Linked DNA regions of Callithrix jacchus. The protein of the gene in region 2 purifies or fractionates together with the protein of the main gene of each other region. This does not show direct contact. Links are inferred from orthologs where the notes say so. Each region holds a gene or a part of one and is shown on either strand. Other genes may lie near its edges. The genes, in order: CDK12 and CCNK.

Region 1 (3,812 bases), on a different chromosome or scaffold from region 2:
CACCCAGCAAATATATACATATATATATATATTTGTTTGTTTGTTTGTTTGTTTGTTTGTTTGTTTGTTTGTTTGTTTGGAGATAGCATTTCTCCATATTCGTCAGGCTGGTCTCGAACTCCCAACCTTAGGTGATCCGCCCACCTAAGCCTCCCAAAGTGCTGGGATTACAGACATGAGCCACTCTACCCGGGCCTAATTTTGTATTTTTAGTAGAGTGAGTAATTTTTATTTTTATTTACTTATTTTTTTAGAGACAGGGTTTCTCTATATTTGTCAGCTGTCTCAAACTCCCAACCTCAGGGGATCTGCTCACCTCAGCCTCCCAAAATGCTGGGATTATAGGTGTAAGCCACCGAGCCCAGCAGGCCTTTCTGTTATTAAAATATAGTAGTAACTCAAATACTTCAATTTTATCTTCGAGGATTTCCTCCTTACAAAGCAAATCGCAATCTATAAATATTATTTTTTACCCTCCCTTAAAATTCCCAGGAAGCTATGAAATATTTTGGATGAACCATATAGTTTGTGTTTTTCTTTTGAGACAGACAGAGTCTTGCTCTGTCGCCCAGGCCAGAGTGCAATGGCCCAATCTCGGCTCACTGAAACCTCTGCCTCCCAGGTCCAAGTGATTCTGCTGCCTCAGCCTCCTGAGTAGCTGAGACTACAGCCCAGCTAATTTTTTGTATTTGTAGAAACGGGGTTTCATCGTGTTAGCCAGGACAGGATGGTGTCGATCTCCTGACCTCATGATCTGCCTGCCTTGGCCTCCCAAAGTGAGGGGATTACAGGCCACTGTATCCGGCAAGAGAGTTTTAAAAGTTATAGTCTTCTTGGCCAGGCACAATGGCTCATGCCTGTAATCCCAGGAGTTTGGGAGGCTGAGGCAGGCAGATCACAAGGTCAGGAGTTCAAGACCAGTCTGACCAACACAGTGAACCCGTCTCTACTACAAATACAAAAATTAGCCAGGCATGGTAGTGCACACCTGTAATCCCAGCTACTCAGGAGGCTGAGGCAGGAGAATTGCTTGAACCCGGGAGGTGGAGAGGTGGAGCTGAGATTGTACCACTGCACCCCAGCCTGGGCGAAAAAGCAACACTCCATTTCAAAAAAAAACAAAAAAGTTATGGTGTTCTTTTGGAAAACTTGCATCTACTTAATAACTTTTGGGGACCAAATTAAAACTAAAAATTTGGCTGGGACCAAGTGCAGTGGTTTGCACCTTTAATCCCAGCACTTTGGGAGGCTAAGGCAGGCAGATCACCTGAGGTCAGGAATTCAAGACCAGCCTGTCCAACATGGAGAAACCCTGTCTCTACTAAAAATAAAAAAAAATAGCCGGGTGTGCTAGTGCATGGCTATAATCCCAGCTACTTGGGAGGCTGAGGCAGGAGAATTGCTTGAACCCAGGAGTCAGAGGTTGCGGTAAGCCAAGATCTCGCCATTGCACTCCAGCCTGGGCAACAAGAGCCAAACTCCAGCCAGGCACGGTGGCTCACACCTATAATCACAGCACTTTGAGAGGCCGAGGTAGGCGGATTACCTGAGGTCAGGAGTTGGAAACCAGCCTGGCCAACACAGGTAAAAGCCAATCTCTACGAAAAATATAAAAATTAGCAAGATGTGGTAGCATACACCTGTCTCAGTTACTTGGGAGGCTGAGACAGGAGAATTGCTAGAGCCTGGGAGACAGAGGTCGTAGTATGCTGAGACTGTGCCACTGCACTCCAGCCTGGCTGACAGAGCAAGACTCTGTCTAAACATAAAAAAAAGCCAAACTCCATCTCAAGAAAAAATTGGTCTGGTGTGGCAGCTTACACCTGTAATCCCAGCACTTTGGGACGCCAAGGCAGGTGGATCATTTGAGGTCAGGAGTCTGAGACAAGCCTGGAGTTCGAGACCAGCCTGGCAAATATGTTGAAACCCCATCTCTACTACAAATAAAGAAAATAGCTGGGCGTGGTGGTGCATGCCTGTAATACCAGCTATTCAGAAGGCTGAGGCAGGAGCATCACTTGAACCCAGGAGGCAAGGCCTGCAGTGAGCAGAGATTGAGCCACTGCACTCCAGCCTGGATAAGAGTGAGATTCCATCTCAAAAAAAATAAAAATGAGGGCCAGCGCGGTGGCTCACGCCTATAATCCCAGCACTTTGGGAAGCCGAGGCGGGTGGATCACCAGGTCAAGAAATCAAGACCATCCTGGTCAACAAGGTGAAACCCCGTCTCTACTAAAAATACAAGAACTAGCTGGGCATGGTGGTGTGCGCCTGTAGTCCCAGCTACTCGGGAGGCTGAGGCAGGAGAATTGCTTGAACCCAGAAGGCGAAGGTTGCAGTGAGCCGAGATCGTGCCATTGCACTCCAGTCTGGGTAACAAGAGCGAAACTCAGTCTCAATAAATAAATAAATAAATAAATAAATAAATAAATAAAAAATTAAAAAATAAAATAAAAATGAAAAAAGGCCAGGCACTGTGGCTCACGTCTGTTATCCCAGCGCTTTGGGAGGCCGAGGTGGGCAGATCACAAAGTCAGGAGTTCAAGACCAGCCTGATCAACATGGTGAAATCTCTACTAAAAATAAAATAATTAGCTAAGTGTGGTGGCATATGCCTGTAATCCCAGCTACCCAGGAGGTGGAGGCAGAAGAATTGCTTGAACCCGGGAGGTGGAGGTTGCAGTGAGCCGAGATACACCACTGTTGTCCAACCTGGATGACAGAGCGAGACTCCGTCTCAAAAAAACAAAAACAAAAACAAAAAAACCTCAGAATTGACTTTTGCTAAATCCACTTAAGATATTAGTATTGCTAAATTGTTAACATTCTGACATCTAAAATTTTGTGGCAATATTTACCTGTGTCTTTGTCCTTGGCTTTATATACTTGACCATAGGTTCCTTCTCCGATAATCCCAATAATATCAAACTTGTCCACACAGCGTTTCCCCCAGTCACTTTCTGTTTGTCTTCTTTCTCCATAACGAGGACAACAAATTCTAAAAAGTAAAAACAACAAAAAAGAAGAAAATGAAATCTAGTCAAAGAAGAAAGGATTCTTTTATGATGATTTCACTAACTCCTGTATCTTTTATACATTTTACTAAAAAGGCAGAATTAAAACAATATGAAATATATAAAGAAACAACATAAAATATATATACAGGTCGGGCATGGTGGCTCACATCTGTAATCCCAGTACTTTGGGAGGCCGAGGTGGGTGAATCACGAGGTCAGGAGTTTGAAACCAATCTCACCAACATGGTGAAATCCCGTCTCTAATAAAAATTCAAAAATTAGCCAAGCGTGGTGGTGTGTACCTATAATCCTAGCTACTCAGGAGGCTGAGGCAAGAAAATCGTTTCAACCCAGGAGGTGGAGGCAATGAGCCAATATCACACCACTGCACTCTAGCCTGGGCGATAGACTCCATCTCAAAAAAAAAGAAAACAGTCTCTCACAGTAGCTAAGACACAGGGTTGGAGCCTTAGGAAGACATAATATGAAATAATAGATTTGCTGTTTGCTTTCTGACCTCTCTCAGGTATGGCATCAATTATAAAATGGGAAATTGCAGGGCGCAGTGGCTCATGCCTATAATCCCAACACTTTTTGGGAGGCCCAGGTGGGCAGATCACTTGAGGTCAGGAGTTTGAGACCAGCCTGACCAATGTAGAGAAACCTCTCTCTACTGAAAATACAAAATCAGCTGGGCATGTTGGTGCACGCCTGTGATCCCAATTACTCAGGAGGCTGAGGCAGGAGAATCGCTTGAACCCGGGAGGCAGAGATTTCAGTGAGCCGAGATCACGT
Region 2 (3,912 bases):
TTTTTGGTAGTGATGAGGGCTCACTATGTTGCCCGGCATCATCTTGAACTCCTGAGCTTGAGTGATCCTCCAGCTCTGGCCTCCCAGAGTGCTGGTATAATAAGCATGAGCCACTAACTCTGGCCTCACCTGTCCTTTTCTTATTGAAACTTTCTGCTGGCTTGAGGGAATCAGCTTTCCTTTCCCAAGTTCTTATACACGTGTTGGCTCTTCCAACAAGATTCTAGAACAGATTATTAATAGGTTCCTAGCATCCAAGAGACATCTAATGGCTCTTGGTGAAAACTGAGACATTTATCAGACACTAGTCTTTTAACATTAACTGCATTTTTAGGATTTTTCAAAGTCTATCAATAATGATTTTACAATGTCATCTGCAATTACTCTGGTAAACAATTTGAGCTTAAAAATATGATCACTCTGTAATCTCAATTACCTTGAATTTAATTCCCTTAGATATTTTTTGTTCTTACCCAGTTTTAAACAAAATAAGCAGAAGACACTGTCCTCCCTTTTAGGCACTCAGCAGTCATTGCTTTAAAATATAATCTCCTGAAATGAACTAGCTCATTTAATAGGCCACAGACATGACCAATTTTTCTTTATGACATGCAATTTTAAAAACAGCATTTAAAATTTAAGAACCTCATTAACAACTCGAATAGTTTTTGTTCCTTGTTAGTACAAACTACAGTTTCAAAATGGAACAAATTTAAACAGAATTTGCCCAGAAATCAACTAATAAGCATGAATAATGCATGCATCACAATATAATCGAAATGAGATAAAAGGGGGAAAAAACCCTCAAAGACACCAGTGGTAGTCACTCTGAATAAAACGATCTTGGATAATTACTACATTCACCGTCAAGATTATTTAACAGGTAAGCATCCTAACGACACAACTTTAATCCAAATGTCTGTCAGTACTACTATCACTACTCTCATCCATCGGTTCTTTCACTGAGCAATACTGAGGGCTTAATAAACGTCAGGCAGTGTTCTGGGCGCTGAAAGCTCCTCGCTTTCATTCTAGCAACATCATTCATACAAGCCTTTAATGGGCACCTAAAATTGCAAGGCACTGTGCTAGCCATCTGAAAAGAGAGATTTAGATAGAGATACACAAACGTCACCAATTTTCCTTTAAAAATATAAAAGACTACCCTTAAGAAATGCTCTTATCCAGTCGTTCCTGGCCGAGCGCCGTGACTCACGCCTGTGATCCCAGCACTTTGGGAAGCCGAGGCAGGAGGATCAATTGAGGCCAGGAGTTCGAGACCAGCTTGGCCAATATGGTGACATCCCGTCTCTACTAAAAATAGAAAAAGTAGCCTGGCCGCGTGGTGGCGCACGCCTGAAATCCCAGCTACTCGGGAGGCTGAGGCTGGAGAATCGCTTGAACCCAAGAGGCAGATGTTTTAGTGAGCCAAGATCGCGCCACTGCACTCCAGCCTGGGCAACAGACAGACTCTGTCTCAAAAAAAAAAAAAGAAAAAGTCGTTCCTAACCTAAGATGACTTAGCGAAAGCTCCGTTTAACTGGCAATCTAAATTTAGGGAGCATTACCGAGACTATCTTTGGCAGACAATAGTTTGGGAGCTGTCAGATAACCTCTAGACTTACGGTCCAATTTTCTAAATAACAATTTCTCTCATAAAAAAACAAATTAACCACCAGAACCGGGTCCGTAAAGACGATGTCTCCACAAGAACGAAATCTAATCGCGGAAGTGCCTTTTCCTCATTCCTAGTCGCACCCTCGTTACGTGGCTCTTCAGACTCCAAAGTCCGAGTACCCTAGATATGGAACAATCTCCAAAAAGTCTCAGGCCTACCCAAGGTTGGGACTAATACGCCGCGAAATAACCGGGGAAATATGAGTACTCAGTAGCTATGAGATTGTGCGCGGGTGACACCCCTGTCCCTTTTGCCCAAGCCCTAGAAAGTCCAACTCTGACTGACCCCTACTGCGAGGGCCGCTACCAGTTCTAGGGTGCGCCCTGCTTCCCTGCCCCACCCCGGCGCCTCGGACCCTCTCTCCAAGCCGGTCCCGCAGCCCCGCGCCGCCCGCTAAGTTCAATGTGTACGAGAGGTTAGCGGAGAGAGGCGGAATCCGAAAAGAGAGACTCCGCCAGTGGATGGCGGCGGTTGGCCATAACCTACTCCGACCTCTGGATACGCGGGAGGTGGGCGGTGCTGCCCGCAGTCGGTGGGTCACTCACCCCTCTTTTCAGGCAAGCCCCTTAGCGACGTCTCTCCTTGCCGACCGCGGCCATTTTGCATGTGGAATGTCGGGGAATACGTCATCACGCTGCGTCTTGAGACAAAAACCAAGCGACCGGAGAGGCGGAGAGAGTAGGATGCCTGTCAACCAATGGGAAGAAAACAGAGCTCTCGAAAGCGGAACGGGCCGCCTTATTCTTTCTCGCCCGCCCCGCGGGTCAGTGGCGGCTGCGTGCAGGGGGAGGAGCCAGCCACAGGGCCCATCCCGTCGGTTCCGCCCCCCGGGGCGAAAAAGATTCTGGAGCAACCGAACCTGCTAACGGAACTCGGGAGCGTAGGCGGGGTCCGGGTCGCGCTTCGTCCAATCAGAGCTGGGGCGGGGGCGAACACAGCCAATTGCGACCTCGGGGTTGGCGGCGGCTGAGCCGTCCGCTCTCGCCCCCGGGAGCCGTCAGCCCACTGGCTGGAGAGGACCCCGAACGGAACGCCGGCTTGGCGGCGGGGCGGGGCCGCGCCCATGCGTCCGAGGCGCGGACCAATGAGCGGCTGCGGCGGCGGCCTGGGGGCGGGGTCTAGGGCGGGCGGAGCGGGGTTGGGCCGCGGCGGCAGGGCCGTCTCAGGCTGCCGTCCCGCCCCTCCTGTCCGGCCGCCGCCGTCGCCGCCGCCACCGCAGCCACTGCCACCGCCTGGGGGTTGGTTGAGGCGGACGGTGGTGTCCGGGCTGGAGTGCGTCGTTCCCGCTGCGCTAGGGGAAGCGGGCAGGTGAGTGCTGGCGGCGGTCTCTGCGCGCATGTGGCCCGGAGGCTGCGAGAGAAACTCGCGCTGCCTCTCCGAGCGTTACGAGGCCGCCCCCCGCCCTGGCTGGCGCCCCTCTGCCGAAGTCCGGCGCGCGCCCCCGCCCGGGTCCCTGCCGGCCGCTCCGGGCCCGGGGCTTGAAGGGGCGGGTGTGAGCCCCGGAGCTGGGGTAGGCAGGGCCCTGCGGGGTCGGAGGGCGCCGGTCGGCCTCTGCCCTGGCGCCCTGCGGGGCGGGAGGCGCGCGCTCGCTGCTGCCGGTCCCTTCTGGCGCCCACGCTCCCGGGCTCCGCGCCACCAGGTCCGGAGGTGGTGGCAGGTGCAGGGAGCGCTCTCCCTGCGCTTGCCCCACTGTCTCCGGCCCTCGCGCCCTCTCTCGGGTGGGGCCCGGGCCCCTGGCGCTGGTCTGCTCGGCTCTGCGTGCGGCCGGGTCGCGCTCTCATTTCCTTCCTTCCGTCACCCCGCTGCCCGGGGAAGGCTGTGCGGTTTTATGTTCCTTTCTGCGAGTCCTCGATGCCCACCGGGGTGCCCGAGGACCAGCCCCCGCCTCCCTTCCGCTCCGTCCAGTTAGAAAGACGGTCGTAGGAAATAGGTCGTCTTTCTTCCCACGCGACGCTGGCCGTGTTCCACACGCGCAGTGCCCTACTAGGGAGAGGCATTCCGTGCTTAGAGTTTGTCATTCCGCAGTTAAACTCTTCCTCCTCGTGGCTCCAGCCCGGCGATGCAACTCTGCCTTTCCCCTGTCTCCACTCGGGGAAAGGAGCTGACAGTGACGCGCGCCCCTAGCTGCGGGGCTCGCCCCCGCCGGGTTAGTGTTGGAAGGAGAGTGTTTAAGTTGCAGATTCATTCACGCGTTGGGATCACTCAGACAGTGTTATTTTGCTTTTCTAAATAAA

The links.
Region 1: the proteins of CCNK (region 2) and CDK12 purify together in Homo sapiens (affinity purification with mass spectrometry; 6 studies listed by BioGRID and IntAct, with this or other methods). This does not show direct contact. The link is inferred for Callithrix jacchus from reciprocal best matches to the Homo sapiens genes CCNK and CDK12.

Annotation. Positions count from the first base shown.
Region 1 is NC_133506.1:119,957,444-119,961,255, reverse strand, and holds part of CDK12 (cyclin-dependent kinase 12), read right to left. Parts: intron 2,999-3,812; coding exon 2,859-2,998; intron 1-2,858. UniProt on the Homo sapiens protein: Cyclin-dependent kinase that phosphorylates the C-terminal domain (CTD) of the large subunit of RNA polymerase II (POLR2A), thereby acting as a key regulator of transcription elongation.
Region 2 is NC_133509.1:134,366,376-134,370,287, reverse strand, and holds the start of CCNK (cyclin-K), read right to left. Parts: upstream 2,295-3,912; 5' UTR 2,224-2,294; intron 1-2,223. Other genes in the region: SETD3 (actin-histidine N-methyltransferase), read left to right, coding at 2,362-2,441. UniProt on the Homo sapiens protein: Regulatory subunit of cyclin-dependent kinases that mediates activation of target kinases.